Linked DNA regions of Nothobranchius furzeri. The protein of the gene in region 2 purifies or fractionates together with the protein of the main gene of each other region. This does not show direct contact. Links are inferred from orthologs where the notes say so. Each region holds a gene or a part of one and is shown on either strand. Other genes may lie near its edges. The genes, in order: cbx3a, chaf1b and cbx5.

Region 1 (7,525 bases), on a different chromosome or scaffold from region 2:
AACATTGCATGGTCATCGGGGGCAGTTCCTGTGGAGTGGCAGACCGGGGTGGTGGTCCCCATCTTTAAGAAGGGTGACCTGAGGGTGTGTTCCAACTATAGGGGGGATCACACTCCTCAACCTCCCTGGAAAGGTCTACTCCAAGGTACTGGAGAGGAGGGTCCGATCGATAGTTGAATCTCAGATTGAGGAGGAGCAATTTGGTTTTCGTCCTGGCCGTGGAACTGTGGACCAGCTCTATACCCTTGCAAGGGTGATGGAGGGGGCACGGGAGTTTGCCCAACCAATCCACATGTGTTTTGTGGATTTGGAGAAGGCTTATGACCGTGTCCCCAGAGGCACCCAGTGGGGGACGCTCCAGGAGTATGGGGTGGGTGGCCTGTTGTTAAGGGCCATTCAGTCCCTTTACCAGAGGAGCGTGAGTTTGGTCCGCATAGCCGGTAGTAAGTCAGACCTGTTCCCGGTGAGGGTTGGACTCCGCCAGGGCTGCCCTTTGTTAACGGTTCTGTTCATTACCTTTATGGACAGAATTTCTAGGCGCAGCCGTGGTGTGGAGTGTGTCGAGCTTGGTGGCAGGAGAATCTCGTCTCTGCTTTTTGCGGATGATGTGGTCCTCCTAGCTTCATCCAGCTCTGACCTTCAGCTCTTGCTGGGTAGGTTCGCGGCTGAGTGTGAAGCGGCTGGGATGAGGATCAGCACCTCCAAATCTGAGACCTGGTTCTCGACCGGGAAAGGGTGGCTTGCCAACTCCGGGTCGGGAGAGGTTCTACCTCAAGTGGAGGAGTTTAAGAATCTCGGGGTCTTATTCACGAGTGAGGGTAGGAGGGATTTGGAGATCAACAGGCGGATTGGTTCGGCGTCTGCAGTGATGCGGACGCTGAGCCGGTTTGTCATGGTGAAGAGGGAGCTGAGCCAGAAAGCCAGTCTCTCGATTTACCGGTTGATCTACGTCCCAGTCCTCATCTATGGTCATGAGCTTTGGGTAATGACCGAAAGAACGAGATCGCGGATACAAGCGGCCGAAATGAGTTTCCTCTGTAGGGTGGCCGGGCTCAGCCTTAGAGATAGGGTGAGGAGCTCGGACATTTGGGAGGGACTCGGAGTAGAACCGCTGCTCCTCCGGATCGAAAGGAGTCAGTTGAGGTGGTTTGGGCATCTGGTCAGGATGCCTCCTGGACGCCTCCCTGGGGAGGTGTTTCGGGCATGTCCTGCCGGCAGGAGGCCCCCGGGTTGACCCAGGACACGTTGGAGAGGTTACATCTCCAATCTGGTCCGGGAACGCCTTGGGGTCCTGCCGGAGGAGCTGGTGGAGGTGGCTGGGGAGAGGACAGTCTGGAACTCCCTAGTTGGGATGCTGTCCCCGCGACCCGGATGAGCGGAGGAAGACGACAATGATGATATATGTATGTATATATATATATATACACACACACACACACACACAACCTCATTAGAATTTAAAATGGTAATTAATAAAGTTGTTTTATGGGAGGATCACAATAATCACTTTTGTGAATCGCCTGCACCAACGGCTTAATTGCTTATTCACAAGGATGCAGTCATGTATTTAATTGAGATATGCGATTGTTTGTTTTGCACTATCCTACATGGTACTACTGTAGATCATTTTTTTAATGTATATATTGTATATCATATTTCTGTTTCACCTGTTCCTTTGTCTCCGACTGCTTTGAGCATGTACATGACACAAGAATTTCCCTCGGGATAAATAAAGTTGTTCTTATCTTATCCTGAGCCAAGCATGAGGGTTTATGTGGAATCTTATAGAGAACACTAGTTAAAAGGGGATCTTTACATCCAGCGTCAGCACAGAAAATATTGATCATTTTAACACAGAAGTTTTTGTTGTTAGTCAAATCAAAGAAACTTTAATTTTCTGATCTCAGCTTGTACAAGACGTCAGCCATTAATGATAAATTCCTGTAAACAACATGCTGCAGCCTGGACCCCAGATACAAACAAGTGAAAGTCATCTTACCTAAGCAAAGTTTATTTCTGTCCAGCCCAGGAGCCCATCTGAACACAAGTGGTGTGATGAGATTTTAAGTAAATCAGCTAATAACTGCTCCTTTACGCTGACGTCTCCTATCTTGTGTTACTTTATCAGTAGGTAAAGGCCAGAGGGGTGAAACTGGATGTTGTTTAGTCAGAAACGTCAATGCAACTTTATCCCCCATTCGTTCAATAAAAACCACCAATATAGACACCTGAATTCAGATTTGAATTACCAATCACCACACGGTTGGACATAAATATGAAGTTTTAGGTTACGTCACCATCCATGAGTCTACTACAGGTGATAAAGCCAAGTCTTCGATCTCTACCTTTTTAGTGTGAGCATCATTAGGTGAGATGCAATGATCAAATGACAGGTAAAACTATGGTTGGACTGATTTTAGTCTCCTTTAAATGTTTCCATTCATCAACACTTCCTGCCAGCTGTTCCAGGCTTTTTTGGAAGTTTAACATCTCCGACAGGCAAATAGCTGTTAACATGTGACCAGTTACTTTTAAAATAAACTCCATAATGTGTCTTTACAAGTGGTTATAGAAGAAACCAACCATTATCCATTACTGAGAACCAGCAGACTGAAGCCTCATTTACACCAAGTGCAGAACAGAATGAGCAGCTGATAGAGCTCCAGACAGGTGTGGACATTCATGGTCCTCCTTGGATAAATATCTCACCACTGTTCCTCTAAGGAGATCAGAATGCTGCTGCCAAAATAACATTCTGATGTAGGCCAAGGATTGATACCCTGACAGAACCACTCAGCTGGCTGTGACACTTTTAATAAAGCAACATTTAGGTTTTCTTTTTTCTGTATGCATTTGTCCTAAACTACAAATGAAGAGGGTAAAACTAGGCCACATAAAACCTTTATTTGAACTTTATATTTACAAACTGTAAACAAAGCGTTCATTTCAAACACGTCGGCACTTGCATCAAGGAACAAAACATTTAACTGAACTCAAAAAGGTTGACATAGACTCAAGTAAAAAAAATAAACAAATTGGAATGTGGACTGACATTATCGCTTTTTGACTAATCTTATATCCAACCCAGTCACCTGCTTTGACAAACTTTTAATCTACAATACCCCAACTGCCATACAAATGATTTTGTCTCAAATCAGCTAAAGTAGCTAAAGAAGAAAAAAAAAAGCAGAACAGAGAACACAATAAAAACCTAAAACATAAAGGTGTGCAGAATCCAGGCAAAGGCTACTGAGCCTCATCCTCTGGACAGGAATGCCACGTCAGCCGCTCCTCATAGAAGGATATGACCACCTGAGGGCAGCGCGTGTTGGCCTCACGAGCAGGGACCAAGTCTGCTTCATCTGACTCTTTCCTGGGGGACAAAAAAATAAATAAAAACTAAAATAAAACAGCAGATCTTAGAAAAGCCTATTTAAAAATCAAAGAAATAAATTATATATATTCAAGTGATTTTATTTCTAAATACTCTACATGTTTGTAATAAACCTTTTCCGCTTTTAGTTCGACTCCCTAAAAAAACACTAATGGCCATGCAAAGCAACCGAGGTAAATGTGAAACTACTCTTGTTGAAATTGGGTGTAAAGTCTGCCTAACTCACCACTTCATCAAGAACATCAGCTCCCCGCTGCTGTCTGTGGCACCAATGATTCGCTCTGGCTCCAGGTTCCTGGCAAAGCCGCGAGGCTTATCAGGCTGTCAAATAAAAACAAAAACAGGTTATAAACCATATTCTGATTGCACAACCTACAGGGAATCATGCTAGCAGGTCAGAGACATAAAAAACGTATAATCTAACCACATCTTTCTTCTTGGGTTCCTCTTCTGCATCATCTGTGGAGGCCTTCCTCTTCACTGCAGCCGGCTTCTCCTTTATATTCTTCTGGGAATCCAGAAAGGCCTGAATGAGCTCGGGGCAGTCCAGGTTATCCTCGGGTTCCCAGGTGTTGTCCGCTCTGAGGGAGCAAAAAAAAAAAAAAAAAAAACAGGTTAGCGTTCAAACCAAAAACATCCCAAACGTGTTAAAAGGGAAAAGCTGGGAGGCTTCATGCAGCCACGGTGCGTTAGAGGCGGAGAGAGCAGGACATTGTCCCGGGTAACTCACTCTGTGAAGCCTTTCCACTTCAGGTAGAACTCTACTTTCCCGTTGACGATCCGCTGGTCCAACACTTTCTCCACAACAAATTCTTCAGGCTCCTCCTGGGTCTCGGTCTCCTTCTTAGGCTTTGTATTCTGTTTCTTGCCCATTTTGCTTTTTAAAGATAAAAAGACGAGCCGCATTTATTCGGAAGGCCTTAAATCCACCCGGATGCTAGGCTACAAATAACTCAGCCAACGCTAACATAGGACATTACTCTAATTTGGCCCACCTGCTAGTTAGCTCAGCATTTAGCAGCTAAACGTAACAAAGGTTGCTAACACGCTGACCCCTTACCTAAAATTTCCTTGATTTTAAACAGTCTCATCTGCGGATTTTATTTGAGCAACAGAATTAGTAGAATTGTAAAAGATAAAATAAAAACTGTGGTAAAACTACAACACATCCCCACAAAACAACACCTTACTTGCCTTACTTTCAGCTAGCTTAACATATTACAGTAATAGCTAAACAATGGCGATGCTAACGCTGCTGGGTCAACAACTAAACTGCTGTTTGTCAAAAAACCAGCAACGTATAGGTGGCGTTTTAACACGCTCAGAGTAGCCTGATGTAATTAAAGAAATACTCAACATTGTTTTAAAAGAGAAGAACTCCGCACACTCACCCAAAGCGCGCGGATTTCTATAGTTGTTCAGCACCACGCCGCTCGGATGAAGTCGATCCCACAACGAAGGCGGCGCCAAAAACTAGTTGTGGCTACGGAAGCCCAGAAGGAAAAGCGATTCGTCTGCAGCCGAGCTGACCCATGTGTTCCAGAAGGGCCCTTTTCATGAACCAAGGCTTCAAGCCGCTAGTTAACGCAATCTGAGACACGTTGGTAGTAAATGAAAACGTTTATATATGTTTTAAACTATAAAGTAGTGGAAGGAATAAAGCATAAACACTAGCAATCATTTTCTTTTTCAGATTGTTCAAAAATGAAAAATTTAACAAATTGACCCCAAAGTCATAATGCTAATGCTGAATTCAGATTAAATTGAGCACCTGATGTCTCAAGTTGTTTAGATTGTTCTCAGACTGAGTGAAACAATTTCTTTTACTTTCTACTGAATACCGTAAATGACTGGCTTGTGATTTTGAACGAGTATTTGTTAAATATGCTTTACAGCCATATTTTAATAAATCTGTCTGCCTTCTGTCCTGAAATGATGCCGGTCAACACAGGTGTTCAGCTCAGGTGAGGAAAATAATGTTGATATGCTCACCAGCACGCAGCACCATAACAGTAATGGTATATATAACCTGTTAGCCAGACAAAACAAGACATTATTTAAATGTTTTTAATAAAGAAATCAAGTATTCTTCAATCAGATTTATCTTTTCAATAATCACCGCAAACAGACAGACAAATGTGACTCATGCATGAAAAAACAAGATGTATGAAAGTGAAATGCACACAAATAAACGTTTAAACCAGGACAAAGAGAAAACATGATCTTTGGATCACAATTAAGTTTATACACTCCCTAGTGCAGGGGAGTCCAATCCTGGTCCTGGAGAGCCAGTAACCAGCAGGTTTTGTGGTTTTTCTGCTTCAAAATGCTTGATTAGCTGGTTGAATCACCTGTGCAGCAGCTCATCAGGCTCTGCAGAAGCCTGTTAATCACCTGCTGATTGAAATCAGGTGTGCTGAAGCAGGTTAAAACGAAAAACGTGCTGGATAACGGCCCTCGAGGACCAGGATTGGACACCCCTGCCCTAGTGTAATCAAACACTCAGCCTGTCATATTGCATTCTCTAATAATCCCAAACATATAAACAGACAACAATCATTCTTGTTTGTGTAGCGAGTGGATAACATATTTTGCATGACAGGGGATTTCTTCTGTTCTAAAGTTATTTTTAGGTGAGGTTGTGCTTTAGTAGATGTGAGGGGATTCATGTCAGATCAGCTGACTTAAGTAAAGCACAAAAGGGTCAGCAGATGAGTAAAGTTTGCCTTTTTGTGCCATTTAGAAGCATCTTTATGGGAAAAGTGAGAAATTATGTTTTCCAGAATGGGTCTTTGTAACATAGATACAACCTTATGTATCATTTTGGGTGTATTTTAGGAGTAAAGAGATTATAAAACAATTATAAACAAGAAAAAAACTGATTAGAATACCTCACACAATCTCACTGAGAAAGAAAATCCATTTTAGATGAAACTGGAGCCAAAAATCACAGAAAGTCATCCCTGTAAACTGGAAATCAAACAAAAGAAGTTGCGTGAGACCGTTTTAGAATTGTTCTATTTAACTCAGCAAACCTTACAGAAGCACGCTGCATATAAAACAACATTCAACAAAGCTGGGACCACCGCTTTGGTTCATTTTTAGCTGAACATCATCAAAAACTGATTTCTGAGCATAGCATGCTGAAACTCGAACTATGAAGGATTTAAGTCAAAACCATCTATTTGTTATTAAAATCTGCATCAATAGTGTCTTAAAGCATTCGTGTGTGGATTATTTTCGAACCAAATACAACGTTACAAAATAAAGCCTCTTCATTGTAATCATTGGTATTTGGCATGTCACCCCTGGCAACTATGAGAAAGACAAATCTTTATTATTTTTTCCAGTTTTAGCCTAAATAAATAACATTACACACAGTTACCTTAAACGCCCCTGTAAACATTAGATTTACTTAAATTTTACTTTTCCATTTTGAAAAAAAAAGAGAAGGAAACAGTCTTCGTCAAAATGAAAACACTTCAAAAACCTTTCAAACCAGAATAAATATAATCTTCAACTTCCTAGTTCTCCTCAAAAGACTTAAAAAGGCAAATTTACACACAAAACCCCTCGGACCCATACCCAGTAAAGGTGATAGTTTTACGTTATCAGGCCCGGCCCAGAGAGGGGCTGGTTCTGCTGCCAGCTTTAATAAACACAAAGTCCAGTGTGCCCACTACTAATGTCTCAATATTTACAGATATTCTATCGAATTATTCATTTGTGTTCAGAGTGTTGTTTTGTTTTTGCAGCTTCTGATAGTGAAGGCTTATGGCAGTGGTGAATAAACACGCACGCACACACACACGCACGCACGCACGCACACACACACACGCACGCACGCACACACACGCACGCACGCACGCACGCACGCACACACACACACACACACACACACACCACCTACAAAAAAAGAACCCCAAACCCAGAGTCAGTCAAGTTCGGGAATATCAAAAAAAGCCTCTAAAAGCTCAAGTCTCAGCAGGAAACGAAACATCACTGCTTCTTCCCTTTTTTCCTCTTGTTTGTTTTGTTGCCTGCTGATGTGGAGACGGCTGGACGTCTGATGGGCTGAACCACAAACCTCCCGTTAGCGCCACACTGCAGGGTAAATCTGTCTGGGCTCAG
Region 2 (7,805 bases):
CTGTCAGAACGCCTCAACTGGAGATCTGAGCTGGAGGTCCTCCTCTGTGCCTGTAGATGTAGATGATGATGCTGATGATGATACTGATGATACCGATGATGATGATAACGATGACGACAATGATGAGATTGTCATCGTGGAGACATCAAGTACCCCCAAGCCACAAAAGCCTGCTCCTAGCATTGCTAAAATCAAGAAAGAGGAGGAGGCGGCAAGTGAGTTGGCGACCTCCATGTTGTTAGAATGCACCGATGATGCAGCGGTGGATTTCAGTTCAGAGGATACCGCCGCAGGTCCGAGCACGCAGGTGATCAACAGCTCCACCCAAACAGCAGCTTCCAAAGTAAAACTAGAAACAGAGAGTCAAAGCCAACCTGGAGGGAGGGAGAAAGGGTGCAGTAACAATGGTGCCATGTCAGACAACACAGACACCCCCGTCCTCCAGCAGCAAACGCTTAAGCAGGAGAACGGGGAATCCAGTCAGAGTGGGAATCGAGGAGAGCAGTCTTTGTCCAACGGAGTGACACACATGGAAAATGATGAAATCGCTGAACCTTCATATGCTCCCCTTTTCGCTGACATCTCTGTGGTGCAGAAGCAGCAGGATCAGCTGCTGGAGCTCATGCAGGACACGGCTCAAGAGAGGGACAGTTTAAAAGAGGAGGTGCAAAGACTTAACACCCAGCTGCAGGAGCGGGTCAGCGTAAAGAGCGAGTGCTCTCATCAAGCCTGCCAAACAGAAGTCCAGAAGGACTACAGAAGTCTCTTTGAGAAGGCCAAGAAGAAGGTTCACGATTTGGTGAAGGACAAAGAGTTTTTATCAAACGCTGCTGACATCAGTACCGGCGCTAATGCTGCTCCAGGTGAAGAACCAGATGTCCAAGAGATTTCTCTGCAGGTTGGCGGTCTAGTTCGTGAACTGGATCAGAGACAAAAGAAGATGGATGAACTTCGCTCCAAGGTTAGGGTCCCAGCTTTGATTGGGGCTGAATTTAGTTATTGAACTACTCTTGAGTGCAGATGTCCTAAATTCTGTTACTGCTTTCTAAAGCTGGTCTGCTTTTCTGCCCTCTTGGGTGTTTTTTTTTCTCTGGCTTCACCAACAGCTGGTCAGTCTGGAGGAGGAAAAGTCGGCTTTAGCGGCCCAGTGTGAAGAGCTCAGGTCAAGTCTGCAGCAAGAACGGGAAACCGCACAATCAGAGGAGGCTGGAGGCTCAGCAGGCTCTGGCTCAACGTCAGAGGACCACGAAAGGTTGGACTGCTGGCAGATCACTTATTTCATGTAGGTTTTAAAGTATGTTTTTTTATTTGTTTAGATTTAAACGTGCCTCTTTATTTCCTCGTTCCTATAGTTTGATCAGGCTTCGAAAGAACGTTGGGCGTCTTCTCGTCTCCTACATCCCAGATCTGGATTTGGAGCAAGTGAATTATGATTGTACCGTCATCGATGAGATCCTGGAGCAGTATGTTAACGATGGTTGTGATGCTGCTATTCCCCTGTTCAGCTGAAGAGAACTTCACAGGTGTTCTGTAGTTTCATAAGAACGTCAGGTCCGTCTGGTTTGAGTTTTCAGCTTGTACTTCAGTCTTAATTTGTGTTTTTGCCTGAGTTCATTTAACTGCAGCAAGTGGATATTTTCAACTAATTGTCAAACCAAAACTTTGATGGCTGACGTGTGTGAAATAATCCATCTTGCAGCCCTAAACTTACACATTTTCAGTTCAAACTGTTGAAATGTTAATTTTGTGTGAAGCTCAGGGAGACTGTTTCTGTTGCATCTGGGATGTTTTACTCTAAGCCGTTTGTGCTATTTTAAAAAAAAACATTATTGTTAAATCACATTTAGTTTGTCATAGTTCTCACACTTGTAGTAATACATTCTATTACTACTTTTATGTTTTCTTATGATTTTCATTAAACATCACATTTTTTATTGTAACATGTACATATATTTATATTATCTGTCAGTTCAGATGGTGCAAACTGAGATTTAGTAACAGGCGATGGTTCAAATTGACATATTTTATACGTACCTAATATAGTGAGTAAAGCAAGGCCTCATGTGAAACTTTCCATCATATTTGAGGGTGAGAGCACACCGATGCTACTGCATAAATATATGTATATGGCCCAACTACTTCTGTTGGAAGTTTCTTTAAAATGTTTACTTGTTTTTTGCAAAAGATTGTTAATAGTTTTAGGGACTTTGTTTTAAACTGTATTAACGAGAGTTCAGACGTTCCCTTGAGTCATGTACCCTTGGCTTGAACAGTATGTGTGTCTGTAACTAATGTAGACATTGTATTTTGTATAAGTGCAGCACATACATTTCTTACTAAAAATGCACTTTTTTTACTAATTAAAGCAAAAATGTGGCTTGAGAAATCTGAAAACTTGGATTGATGTTCTGATTTACATGTGGTCATGTCAATGCTGATAATGAATGTATAATAAAACGTTTACCAATATTTGTCAGTCAAGAGCCAGTATTGGCACAAACCTTTTCAAGTGTTTTATTTGTACTTTTAACTTTTTTATTTACCTTTTAATCCTCTTGAGACTTTCCTCAAGTTTATACCATAATCATAAATAGTGAAAATATTGACTCATGTTTACAAGATGATAGCAAAAACTTTATCACTCAGATCAGAGTTTGCTAACACCTAAAGAAATAATGCAAATGAATAAAAGACATTTTAGCATAAAAGGTTAATTATAAGTGATTGGGGAGAAAACGATAAATCCCAAATTTGCATTAGACATACAAATGTTAAAATTAAATTGTAGTTCATAGCTGTTGTTTGTACATTTGTGTACGTCTACCATAAAGACAAAAAAAGCCGCATGTGACGTTAAAATAGCTGTATTTACCAATAAAGGAAAAATACTAGTTTCAATAATGTTTTAGATAATTTAATAATATAAATGCGTCAATTAAAGTTCGATTTGATGATAATTATATTCATTTTCCTTTTTTTCTTTTTCTTTTTTTTTTTTTTTTGTCTGAGCAAGAGAAGTAGAAACTTGCCTTCAGTCTCCGCCTTTTCCTGTGTTTCGTCCAATCACAGCAGCCCATTTGACCGGAAGTTGTGAACAAAACATACGCGGGAAATTATCATTAGTTGGACACCGGAGTAGGTAAAACACAATTTTTTAGATTATCTCAGTAAAAAGAATACTTAAAATCACACATTTGTCTTTTGAATCCCGTTTGCTCGCTTTTAAATAACTTATTTTACACATGTTTTGGGGTTTTTCCTGTTGTGTTCGCTCCGAACCCGCTAAGTTGTTTGCTAACTGTGCTAAGTAGCCTAGTCTTGCTGAAAACATCCAGCCTTTCATAATATTTAATTTGTACTTGTCCATATTTGCAGTTTGTATAATGTGTTCGCTACTTTCAGCCTGAATAATGACAATAATGTGTCAGCATCTCGTAAATGTAACTTTTATATGAACATAAGGAAAATGAAGGTAGTAACGTGTGAGATAGCATGGCACAACAAGGAGCCGGTTTACAGCCTGGACTTTCAGCACAGCTCTGACGGACGCTTTCATCGCCTCGCCACAGCTGGAGTGGACACCACAGTCAGGGTGAGCAACATCTGTTAATGAGCCACATGCAACCCGGAACTCTCTGGTATAATTTAATAATACATGGTCTCTAGTTATGAAGTTATAATTTATCTTGACTTTGCTGCAGCTGTGGCAGGTGGACACCGGTGCAGATGGAAAAGCAGCAGTAGATTTTCTGTCTAACCTGGCCAGACACACCAAGGCTGTCAACGTGGTCCGCTTTAGCCCCAGTGGAGAGCTGCTTGCTTCAGGAGGAGATGGTATGTCACACGTACACATCATCTTTAGATGCAGGGCAGAAATATTCAAATAAGTACTATTGAGATTTGTTTCTCTTCTCTTTTTAAACAGATGCAGCAATTTTCTTATGGAAACTCAATGAATCTAAAGAGCCTGAGCAAGCTCCAGTCTTCCAAGAGGAGGAAGATGCCCAGCTCAATAAAGAGAGTTGGTCTGTGGTCAAAACACTGAGGTACACAGAACAGAAAGCCACAGTGGTTTGTTAGATTTATTGGAAAGATTTGTAAAAGATCTCAAAACTATTATCAGATTAAATAATGTTGGCAGATAATCATCTAGAGCAGACATCTCCAAAGTGTGACCCTCAAAGTGATCGTGTGGCCCCAGCAGCATCTCCGACTGTCTATTGATGTGTGACTTTAACAATTTTATTTTATTTTTCTTTTAATTAAAATGCATATTTTGTGGAATTTAAATGAATAGAAATCATTTATTTATAATAGAAATCAAATTCATGCCCCTACACGCTCCCTTCGCTCAATCAATCAATCAACTTTATTTATATAGCACTCAATTCTACAATACATGCGCCCAGGGCAGGGAGGGCAGAGACTCCCACCACCACCCAGGCACACATGGAAAGCACCCAGGCCACCACAGCCGACCACCGCCGCCGGGGCAAAGGGTTCCCACAGAGGAAGCACTGGAAAAAGGTTAAATTAAGGTTAAAATATAAAATCCAAAGAGCTAAAATGAGAATTGTAATAAAAAGTTATATACATAGTAAAATATTGTTGATCATAACTCAAGGTAAAAAACTGTTTAAAAGGCACATAAAGAAAATACATTAAATAAAATAAATGGATAAAATAAATAAATTAAGTAATTAATTAATTTAAAAAGTGAGAGTATTCAGTTAAAAGCTAAGCTAAAAAGATGGGTCTTGAGCCTGTTTCTTAAACACATGAACGTTCTCAGCAGCCCTGAGGTCCCCTGGCAGCTCGTTCCAGAGGCGAGGACCGTAGTACTGGAAGGACGCCTTGCCGTGAATGTGTGTCCTAACTTTAGGGATGACAAGGAGACGGCTGCCAGAGGAGCGCAGAGACCGCGTGGGTTCATACGGTAAAAGCAGTTCTGAAAGATAAGAAGGCCCAAGACCATTAAGACACTTAAAAACCGTTAAAAGTATTTTGAAATCGATCCTGAAACATACGGAAACGCTCGGCTGATCAGGATTTGCTCATCGTCCCACGACCAAGGTTCAAAACAAGAGGTGATAGGGCCTTTTTAGTCCTTGCTCCAACACTATGGAATGAGCTCCCACCTGCTATCAAACAGTCCCCATCTCTGCAGGTCTTCAAGAGTCAATTGAAGACTCATTTTTATAGTTTGGCTTTTATATGAAATGGATTTTTAGTCTTTTATCATATCTGTCTTCTATTGTATCTGTCTCATAATTGTAGTCATTTTTAGGCGGTTTTTAATCCGTCTTTTTGTTCTTTTACTGTTTTTATGTTGTGTTCAACGCCTGCCTGTAAAGGCAGTGGAAGGCGCCATGCAATTAAAATTAGATAGATTTAAATCCAAATTAAACAGGTTTTTGCATTTTTTTCTAATAAAAGAAACAAAACTTTTGTGGCTTTTGGGGACTGTTAACCTGGCAATTTTGGCTTTCACCTTGAAAAGTTAGACGTTTGCCAGGGAAAATTGCCTCTTTGGGCTGCTGCCATGTCAATTATTCTAAAATGCAAATTATGTTATTTGTCTGCAAGTTTTTGCCACTTATTCAGAAAATAAATGTATTTGATCTATTTTTAAAGAATAAAGTGAAAGAATTTAATTTTTCTGCTCACAGAGGACACATAGAGGACGTGTATGACATCTGCTGGACAAGAGATGGCAACTTCATGGTTTCTGGTTCTGTTGACAACACTGCCATCATGTGGGACGTTAACAAAGGTTCGCAGCCTTAGTTTGGTGTTTTGGACGTATTTGTTTTCCTTCAGATGTCAAATATCTGCTTTTATTTTTTAGGACAGAAGTTGTGCATCTTTAACGACCATAAGAGCTACGTTCAGGGGGTCACCTGGGATCCTTTGGGTCAATATGTGGCCACTCTCAGTTGTGACCGGTAACTGTTGGTGTTTGAGTCATTCCTTCACAAGTCTGTTGGGTATCGCTGGGTTTACGTAACCTTTTTGTTTTCCTCAGAGCGATGCGCGTGTACAGCACTCACACGAAGAAGAAGGCCTTCTGCGTCAGTAAAATGAGCCCCAGTTCACCTGCAGAAGGAGAGGTCAGTAAAATTCTGGATTTTTACTAAATCTGAGTTCTTTTTCTTTCACATTTGATTTCCCCCCCCCCCCCTCTTGTGCATTAGTTGCAACCTTTTTGCAACTTGACTTGATATTCGTAGCATATTCCATCCTATTCTCATAAACCCAGTAATCTTTATTTCTATTTTTGGGTTTTTCATTTTCAGTTGGATACAGAAAGTTTACTTGTTTTTATAGTTAAAAACTTAAGAAATGTTGTATTCAGAGTTTTGTGAAGATGCTTAAATTTCATGGAAATGCTTGAATTTTAATGTGGTTTAATACAATCAAAACAGGCCTAAAATGCTTGAAGTGTTGATTTGATAATGGATTTATCGTTTATTTTCATTACCAGATAAAAATAATGACATTTAATTTGAACAGGACTGTTTCTGAAATTTACGTTAAAATAATTTCAAAATTTGTTGTTTGTGGGAAGATTTTTATTTTAACTTCATTTTATGGGTATAAAAATGAAAATGACCACTTGTTTTATTATCCTTGTTTTGCTGTTTTACATTTACATCTTGTAAGATAAAGATCTCAAACATTTTTAAACATGTTTAAGTTTAAAGTCTTTTTAGGACAATATGACACAAGAAAAGCTTGAACATTTACCTCAGACTGGTTGAAGGAAGCATAATTTTGACTCTGAGAGGAGATCTAATCCTTAAAACCATCTAAAAAGCTCTCCAGTTTGTAAAAACGTGTTCCTCTTCACCGTGTTTAACTGCAGTCCAAGCAGTACAGGATGTTCCACGATGACAGCATGAGGTCGTTCTTCCGTCGTCTCTCGTTTACACCCGACGGGTCGTTCCTGCTTGCCCCAGGTACAGAGACGGCACGAACCAAAATGAGATTTTATCCTCATGAAAGGATTTTTATAAACTCAGCTTTTGCATCTTTTTATTCTCGCATCTTGAACCCCAGCTGGATGCGTGGAGGTGGGAGAAAACATCATAAACACCACTTACATCTTTTCCAGGAAAAGTCTTAAGAGGTGGGATCTACAGCTCTTTCTGGTGTTTACTGACCGTTAACATCTGTAAAACTGTCTCTTTGTGTGTGTCAGACCTATCGCTCACCTGCCGTGTCCGTCTAAAGCCACGTTGGCTGTGCGCTGCTGCCCGCTCTACTTTGAACTCAGAACTAAAAGGGGAGACGGTGAGGACAAACTGGCGCTGATTGTCTCGACTATCTGGAATTATTATGTTTATCTTCAATTTTTTTTACTCTTTTTCTGCTTCAGACGGTTCGACCCAGGCTCTTCCCAACTTGTTCCAGCTGCCGTACCGTATGGTGTTTGCCGTGGCCTCGGAGGACTCCATATTTCTGTATGACACACAGCAGAGCCTTCCGTTTGGGCTGGTGTCCAACATCCACTACCACACACTCAGCGACCTGACATGGTAAACCTAAAACACCCGTTGGCCTTCATTAGGTGTGTTTAAGCTCCTATGAACCGGGCAGCCTCTTTAGTCTAGTGCTGTGTTTGTGTTCAGGTCTCGGGATGGTTCCTTCCTGGCCGTCTCCTCCACAGACGGTTACTGCTCCTTCCTGTCCTTCTCTCCAGGGGAGTTGGGCACTCCACTGAAGGAGCCCCCCACCTTGGAGGTCTTTGTCCCAAGCAGTGGTTCTGAAAAGAAAGGAAAGAAGGCATCAGGGGCTAAAAACTC
Region 3 (7,902 bases), on a different chromosome or scaffold from region 2:
AATTGACCGCTATCTCACATTTGAAAAGGGTAAAATGTTGTTGTTTTTTTTTTTTGTGTAGGGAGGATTTTAGAGAAATAAAAATGTCTAAAAAAATACTTAAGTTGATTAACACAAACACACACACACACACCTCAGAGGCTGTCATCTGTTTTGGTCACGGTCTATGCGGTTTTACTTTGTTACCACTAGGCAGCAACAAAATAAAACGGCAAATAAAAAAATTCTAGCAAGCGAATCACCAAGCAAAGATTGTTCAAATTTAAACGTTGTATTTTGGTAAAAAAAAAAAAAAAATCTACAAAGATAAAAAGTTTAAAAAGGACATGATTAAACAGACAGGAAAGTGCAGAGATGGTTACTTCCATAATGTCAATACTCCAACTCAATCCCACCTGATCATAACACTGCACTCCTCACTGATAGAATCACATCCTGTAAGCACTAAAACATACATCGATATTAAAAAAAGGTAATGAATACAAAGACAATACAGTAGAAAGTTCCCCAAGTAGCATTTCACCCACACCCACTACATCTTCTCCTCCAGCCCGACGGCCCCCTCTCAGCAGCCCGGGTCATTGTGCTCCAGTGGGACGTGGATGGAGGAAGGAGGGGAGGACAAGAGAAAGATGCATCGCCTGTCATTGTGTTGCCTTTGGACGTGGTACATGAAAGTTTTGGATATGGAGGAAAAAAATGTCTGACTTAAGGTAGTCCCTGCAGTGGAGGATTCCTCCCGAGGTGATACACTCACGCGCTAACAGCATCCTTCTCCTTCTTGTCGCCGTCTTCGTGCCAGGTGAGACGCTCCTCGTAGAAGGCTATGACGATTTGTGGGCACTTATGATTGGCCTCCTTGGCGAGAACAAGATCTGCCTCATCAGAGTCTTTCCTGTACGAGAAACCAGAACAGCAAGAGAACTTAAGGAATCCACGCATTGTTAGGGATTGTTAGTTTGTCCTTATTGTCCTTCACTTTTCCAAATTATTTCAACCAAATTTCCCATTTCAAAACAAAATTTCCAAAATCTACAACCATCACTTCTGCTTAGGGACAATTTACTGCATGTATAAATTTAGCTAATATGCAATAGCATAAAGTTTTATGATGTGGCTTACTGTTTATGACGGAACAGCGATTAGCTAATGAATGATTTGCCAGTAGTAATGTGGTGTTAAAGATTCAGGTTGTTAGACATTTAAGCTCATGATAGGACATCGTGCTGTGCTCTGGTGCAACAATTCTGCACCGTTTAACCAGTTCTGTTTTAGACATTTAATAGTTGAAAATGTAAGTACTTTATAATACTTAAGCATATTTCTTTGTCATACGAGAATGAATAGTAGTCCTCTTAGATCAAGTGTGTCTGAGATCCCCATACCCAGCATGTTTTAGTCATCTCACTGCTGCAATACACCTGAATGGTTGAATTACCTGTTCAGCAGGTCACCAAGCTCTACAAAGGCCTGTTAGTCCCCCCTGTGCTAGGTTAGCTTCTAATGTTTATGTCTGAGGAAAATTTTGTTTTACTACGAAATGGGTGCATTATGATTACCAAAGTGCATAAAAGTAAGTGCATTGTCATTATAACAGAATGAAGATCTCCCAAAATGAGTCTACCAGTAAAACTTACCACTTCATTAGAAACATGAGGTCTCCACACGAGTCGGTTGCCCCAATGATCTTCTCTGGCTCTAGGCCCCTCTCAAAGCCACGTGCAACTAGGATCTCATCCTGAAATGTAAAAAAATAAAAAATAAAAAATTAAAAATGCCAGCTGAATATTTGCCAAAGGGCTATTTCATTGGCCATAAATTCAGCAATTCTAAACACAGGTCAAATCTAGATATAACTTATATTATTTAATAAGTATAGGTGTTGCCCATCACCTGCCCATAAGTTAATGCATTATTGGTAATTCAAAAAAACAATTTATCATTTTCATCTCAAAATTATACATTTTACAACATTTAGCTAAAATATAAACAGTCTTTACAGAAATCAGTTCAGAAGAGCTAAGTACAAATGCTCCCACGCATACAAATGATTCATATCAGAATGAGTGCGTTTACATGCAGCCAGTAACCCTTTTAAAACCCGAATATTCACAATAACCCGGTTCCGCAGGTCCTTGTAAACACCGCCAAAAACCTGGATATGCTCATAACCGGGTTTTTAAAAACCCGGTTACTACACCTGGCGTAACCCTTTTCTAACCCGAATGTTTGGTCGTGTAAACGCATACCGGGATATCCCCATCAAAGCGTGTGTTCTGCACATGCTCTGTTCGCAAGGAATCTTGGTCTTTTGAGTAGCGAGACGTCTTGTATGCGCCAGAACACCGGAAGTAAACAACAAGTTGGGAGCAACATGGCGAGTCGCGGCACAGCACCACACTTTCGCAGTGACGAAGAAACTAAAGCACAAACAAACGCGGTCGCCGTCTCTTCCGAACTGGGAAACGTGTTGTTGTTTTCACGGATACCGGAACAAGAAGAACCGGAAATGAGGCATATTGCGTCTGGACGTAGTCCATATGTCTTGACGCTACCCCACCGTCCGCATTTAAATCGGGTTATGCAAGTTAGGGGTAACTCTTTCTATTTATTGTAAACGGGCTTGTAAACGGGTTATTCTGATCAACTCAGAAACCCGAATACCGACCTTAACCCGATCATAACCCGGATATTGGCTGCATGTAAACGTAGTCAATGAAATTCACCTATAATGAAGATAATTTACCTCTTTCTTCTTCTTTGGCTTACTTCCTCCTTCCTCTTCTTCCTCCTCTTCATCAGAGCCCTTCTTTTTTAAGCTGCTGGGATCTTTAGTGCGTCCAGATGAGCCTGTGCTTGATTTACTGGCCCCGCTGCTAGGTGTCGAACTACCACCGCTGCTGCTGCTTTTCTTATAGGTCTTCATGAACTCTGAAATAAGCTCAGGGCAGTCTAGATTCTTCTCTGGCTCCCATGTGTTGTGCTTGCTGCAGAAAATCACAGCACAAGTCATTGAAATGTCACGTTCATTTTTAAAAGGGTAATATTGTGTGCTCAAACCAGCTTCACTGATGCTTTTTGTGCTGTGTGTGTGTGTGTGTGTGTGTGTGTGTGTGTGTGTGTGTGTGTGTGTGTGTGTGTGTGTGTGTGTGTAAAACGGGAATATCAAGTCACTGACCAGTAAACAGGTACTTGGTACTTACTCAGAGTATCCTTTCCACTTAAGGAAGAACTCCACCCTGCCTTTCACCACCCTCCTGTCCAGCACCTTCTCCACAACATACTCTTCTTCATCAGATGAGGACTCCTCTTCACGTGACTTTTTGCCCATCTCGGAGTTGGGTGCTTCACACTACACTCTTTTAGAGTTCGATGGCACTTTCCTGTTCACGACGAAATCACAAACAAGCATCTCACAAAACATGCCATTTTTTCTCAGCGCTCGTCCACATGTAAACACATAAATTTAAGCTCAAGCTGCAGGTTTGCAACCATGAGCGTTAGCCACACAACGTGGTTACCGTGCATCAATGAATATCTTCATTTAATCTCGTTCTTCCCACTAGCAGAACGATAAGCATGGGAAAACTGCTAATATAATGGCCATACATGTGCATTTCTCGACATATGCCCGTTTGAAATAGTTATATGCGACCAGACTGCACTCACAGAAAACGAACAAAGCACACAGTTCAATGAAGACCAAGGGATTTGTCCTGCTAACTAACCCCAAACTAGCCAAAGGAGCTAGCTTACGTGCTAAAGCTATGCTATACTCGCTAATTTACTTATCAAACAACTACCCGATACTTGCAACAGCGTAAAGCACATTTACAAAAACGCAGTTTCTTACCCTCGGAGTGTATAACCCACTGGATGTAGGCCGCTGGTCGCAGGGACTGCTCCGTTTATCTAGAGGCAGCAGTGCAGCTAATGCAGCACCAGCGTTAGCATCTAGCCTGTAGCACATAAAGGTGCCGTGCGCAAAAAGCGCGCGTTAAAAACGCACAATGAACATACCCGCCCCCAGTCTGCTGGTGACATAATAAATGTTTAGAAAACACGTTCCTTCCTACTAAATTTTAACTTTTCTATAACGTTAACGTTCGGTTTATAAAATTGTAGTAACTTGCAGTCACAATAATTTACAAAATAAGTATACACGATAATACAAAATAAAAAAAAACACAGCATAAAGGGTTACAATTATTTGACTGAAAATAAAGAAATTAATATATATACGTCTACTTTGTTGTAGTAATTTATGTTTTCATATATTTTTCGTTTAAATCTTGCTGCATTTATTTATTTCTCTATGTTCATGTTATTTTCCCCCTTTAGTCACCACACACAAAGCCCAGATTAACTAATTTGGCTCATTTTAAATTATACTTTAGCATAAACTCTTCAAGAGTTGTACATTTTGCATCGGTTTGTTTGATTACGGGACATCTTGTGTACCAACATGCGAATGATATTTCCCGTGTTGTTTAGCCAGACGGCAATTTGTCTATCTTTTATATTGTTTATTGTCTTTCTTAGGCTCGTTTCGTAGAAAAAAGTTAATAAGTCGTTTTTTCAGCACCTTTTAAATGTGAGCATTCAATTTCTCTGTCAATTCAGATAATTTGTTTATAGATGAAGGCACATTCATTTTTGGCTTTATGTAATTTAGGTCGGCCATTTTTCTTCATGGTCGACAAAGGCGAATGCCTACTACGCAGTGAATGGTTGTTCGCATTGATTGACAAAATTTAGACCAATCAAAATACAGTTCTGATTGACGACACAGTACCGCGGGAACTACAGACCAATCGCTGAGGGGAAGAGGCGTTTCCGTTCCTATTTCTTGTACGTTCACCCTGTCGCTGGTCTTGTCTGACGCAGCTAGTTCCTCTGCGGTCGGTTCTCAAGGAGTCGTCAAGGATAAAGCGGCAAAATGTCTAAAGAGGTGAGTGCTAAACTTATCAAAGGATATCAGGCCGTAAGATTAATAGTTTGGTTTTGGGTAGTTTTATTATAGGTTGGCCATACTTGGTGTTGTCGACGGACTGTGTGCCGTAGCTGCAGAGCTTTCTTGAAGCCGCCATTTTATAGAAGCTGAGCCTCGTGGCCTTTTGTTCTGATGATGATCTGTAAAGGACATCAGTGGCTTCTCTTCAACACCAGTCTTAAACGATTATATCCCTAACACATTAAACGACAGTGAGTACATATTAATTGTGTGTTGGCTCTTTGAAAGAAGGAGTTCTTTGACTTTAGTCTGAGCGGTTCCTAAACTGTAATGGCGGCGGTGCGCCTTCTCCACCCTATCCCTGATTTTTGATCAAAGACGCAGAGTTTGATATAAATGGTCCACCGACAATATTATTATGCGGAACTATATTGTGCATTGCTTCTCCTATGACGCAAATATTTTTGTGCAGGTTCCACGTGAGCCGGAGCAGCTCCGCAAGCTGTTCATCGGAGGCCTGAGCTTCGAGACAACAGACGAGAGCCTACGGGCTCATTTTGAACAATGGGGCAGCCTTACAGATTGCGTGGTACGCATACCTTTATGTCTCTTTTTAAATGTAATGTAACGTTTGGTTGGTTGCTTAAAGCTGTGATGCGTTTCTGCCTTTAGGTTATGAGAGACCCAAACAGCAAGAGATCCAGGGGGTTTGGCTTCGTCACCTACTCGTCAGTGCAGGAGGTCGATGCCTCCATGTCCGCTCGTCCACACAAGGTGGATGGAAGAGTGGTGGAGCCTAAGCGAGCTGTTTCCAGAGAGGTATGTGAGCCAGCTTATCCAGATTGATTTATGATGCACGAATGGGATTAAGCGCTCTTGTTGTTTGCAGGACTCCAACCGCCCAGGCGCTCACATAACTGTGAAGAAAATCTTTGTTGGAGGCATAAAAGAAGACACAGAAGAATCTCATTTGAGGGATTACTTCCAGCAGTTTGGCAAAATTGAGGTCATTGACATCATGACTGACCGTAACACTGGAAAGAAGAGAGGCTTCGCCTTTGTCAGCTTTGATGACCATGATTCAGTTGACAGGATTGTCAGTAAGTAAAATGTTTATCTTGCAAGCTTTCACCTGCAGTGCTATGTGTGGTTAAAATGTTGCCGTCCCTCCCAATTAACAGTCCAGAAATACCACACAATCAACTCGCACAACTGTGAAGTGAGGAAGGCCCTCACCAAGCAGGAAATGCAAAGTGTGGGCATGGGATCGAGAGGAGGCCGTAACACCGGGGGAAGGCCATATGATTACGACAGAGGCTTCAACCAAGGTAGGGTGTGATGGTGAACACCAACACCTGTAGTGTAATAGGGTGAGTTTTTAAATCCTGATTTCCCCTCATAAGGTGGCAGGGGTGGTCGATATGGCGATGGTCCGTACAATTGCAATGGGGGTGATGGAGGAGGTATACACCTTTTTAGTTATTTAAAGTGGGTTTTGAATGATTTGTTAGAGTACTAATGTTTTTTTATATTTCAGGTTATGGCGGTGGTCCTGGCAGTCCTGGAGGCTACAACCAAGGTGGAAACCGTGGTTATAATCAGGGTGGCTACAACCAAGGTGGTGGAGGAGGAGGCGGTGGCGGTGGATATGGAGGAAATGGTTATGACAACAATGGTTACGGTAAGAATTCTCTTGGTAAAAACCATGTTTATTTCTGCCCAGCATCACAATATAACAGAAAATAACCTTTAAGGTAATTGTGGTGGCGGCGGGGGTGGAGGTGGTAACAACTACAACAACATGGGCCACTACGACCCCCAGGCCTCTAACTTTGGGCCGATGAAGAATAACTTCGGTGGCGGCGGTGGTGGCGGCGGCGGCAGGAACTTTGGTGGAGGTGAGTATTTGAGATCAATATGGTTGCTACTCGCTTGTCTGTTTTGATGCAAATTAATTTCCCCCTTTCTCAGGTGGCTATGGTGGTGGCTCAAACAATCCTGGAGGCTATGGCCGCCCAGGGCGATTTTGAAATGAGAAGGGGTGAGCATCTAAACATGGTCTCATAGTGTTGCAAAACCAGTTTGTCGTTACAGGCAATCACTGAGATACAGCTAAACTGACAAATTCACTTTGGATGTCAGGCCTTAAAGTCAGTGCACAGTTAACAATGTTGTTCCATATTGTTCAACAGGACTGAGTACTTAGGAGAGGAGAGCAGAGCAAGGAGAGGAGAGCAAGCGAAGTGACAGGGCAGCTGCAGGTTTACCTCCTAAATCTGCTCAGCCAAACAGTTGTGGCAGGTTACAGCTGCTACGAGAAGAGATGTACAGTAGATAAATCATGGAGGGCCTTCATTTAAACTTTGTACTATTGTTTTTTTCTTGATGTTATCTTTTCTGGAAAGCAAGCATTCCATTAAGGGTTTTATGTTTATCTTTTATGTCTGGTTTTTATTTGTACCTGCATCAATTCAATCTGAAATAAACCACCTTTCAGTTTTTTTAAGTCTTGTTAGACTCTTTAGTGATTTGGGTTGATTGTTAGCTGTTTGGGGTTCAGTATTAACATGTGAGGTGTTTATATATAAAATTTCAAATGTCCAAACTTGAAGAGATGAGAAGTGGGGCTCGTCATAAAGAGCCCATCACTTTGTACAGCCGCTACCCTGAATTCCACAAAGATCATCTGGAGGATGCTAGCTTACATGCAAAGTCTGAGGCTAGCCATGGAAGCAAGCTGAGGGAGAGAAGTAGCAAAGCCATCGCCAGGATCATTGAAGCAGGGGAGAGTGAGAACAGAGGCCTGAGGCTAGCTGAAAGCAGCTACCAAAGGCTTAAGTGCTGTCCGTAGGTAAGACCAGACTTCTCAACTACTGATAGTAAACATCTTGATTTCTTTCTTTTTTTTTTTTTTTTTTTTTTTTTGTAGCTGGTAGTGAGTTGTAAAG

Evidence for each region.
Region 1: the proteins of chaf1b (region 2) and cbx3a purify together in Homo sapiens (affinity purification with mass spectrometry; 3 studies listed by BioGRID and IntAct, with this or other methods). This does not show direct contact. The link is inferred for Nothobranchius furzeri from reciprocal best matches to the Homo sapiens genes CHAF1B and CBX3.
Region 3: the proteins of chaf1b (region 2) and cbx5 purify together in Homo sapiens (affinity purification with mass spectrometry; 8 studies listed by BioGRID and IntAct, with this or other methods). This does not show direct contact. The link is inferred for Nothobranchius furzeri from reciprocal best matches to the Homo sapiens genes CHAF1B and CBX5.

Annotation. Positions count from the first base shown.
Region 1 is NC_091751.1:29,400,475-29,407,999, reverse strand, and holds cbx3a (chromobox protein homolog 3a), read right to left. Parts: upstream 4,935-7,525; 5' UTR 4,786-4,934; intron 4,773-4,785; exon of another isoform or gene 4,455-4,772; intron 4,272-4,454; 5' UTR 4,268-4,271; coding exon 4,125-4,267; intron 3,976-4,124; coding exon 3,819-3,975; intron 3,716-3,818; coding exon 3,621-3,715; intron 3,374-3,620; coding exon 3,247-3,373; 3' UTR 2,886-3,246; downstream 1-2,885. Other genes in the region: nfe2l3 (nuclear factor erythroid 2-related factor 3), read right to left, coding at 7,394-7,525.
Region 2 is NC_091754.1:23,986,848-23,994,652, forward strand, and holds the start of chaf1b (chromatin assembly factor 1 subunit B), read left to right. Parts: upstream 1-3,342; 5' UTR 3,343-3,451; coding exon 3,452-3,592; intron 3,593-3,701; coding exon 3,702-3,834; intron 3,835-3,925; coding exon 3,926-4,046; intron 4,047-5,669; coding exon 5,670-5,773; intron 5,774-5,848; coding exon 5,849-5,945; intron 5,946-6,025; coding exon 6,026-6,110; intron 6,111-6,865; coding exon 6,866-6,959; intron 6,960-7,059; coding exon 7,060-7,129; intron 7,130-7,201; coding exon 7,202-7,293; intron 7,294-7,378; coding exon 7,379-7,538; intron 7,539-7,631; coding exon 7,632-7,805. Other genes in the region: morc3a (MORC family CW-type zinc finger protein 3), read left to right, coding at 1-961, 1,107-1,252, 1,353-1,509. UniProt on the Homo sapiens protein: Acts as a component of the histone chaperone complex chromatin assembly factor 1 (CAF-1), which assembles histone octamers onto DNA during replication and repair.
Region 3 is NC_091755.1:25,769,711-25,777,612, reverse strand, and holds cbx5 (chromobox protein homolog 5), read right to left. Parts: upstream 3,992-7,902; 5' UTR 3,854-3,991; intron 3,384-3,853; 5' UTR 3,332-3,383; coding exon 3,204-3,331; intron 2,988-3,203; coding exon 2,747-2,987; intron 1,739-2,746; coding exon 1,638-1,738; intron 896-1,637; coding exon 754-895; 3' UTR 283-753; downstream 1-282. Other genes in the region: heterogeneous nuclear ribonucleoprotein A1, read left to right, coding at 4,940-4,951, 5,427-5,543, 5,627-5,773, 5,844-6,054, 6,136-6,282, 6,358-6,417, 6,492-6,635, 6,709-6,852 and 1 more. UniProt on the Homo sapiens protein: Component of heterochromatin that recognizes and binds histone H3 tails methylated at 'Lys-9' (H3K9me), leading to epigenetic repression. In contrast, it is excluded from chromatin when 'Tyr-41' of histone H3 is phosphorylated (H3Y41ph).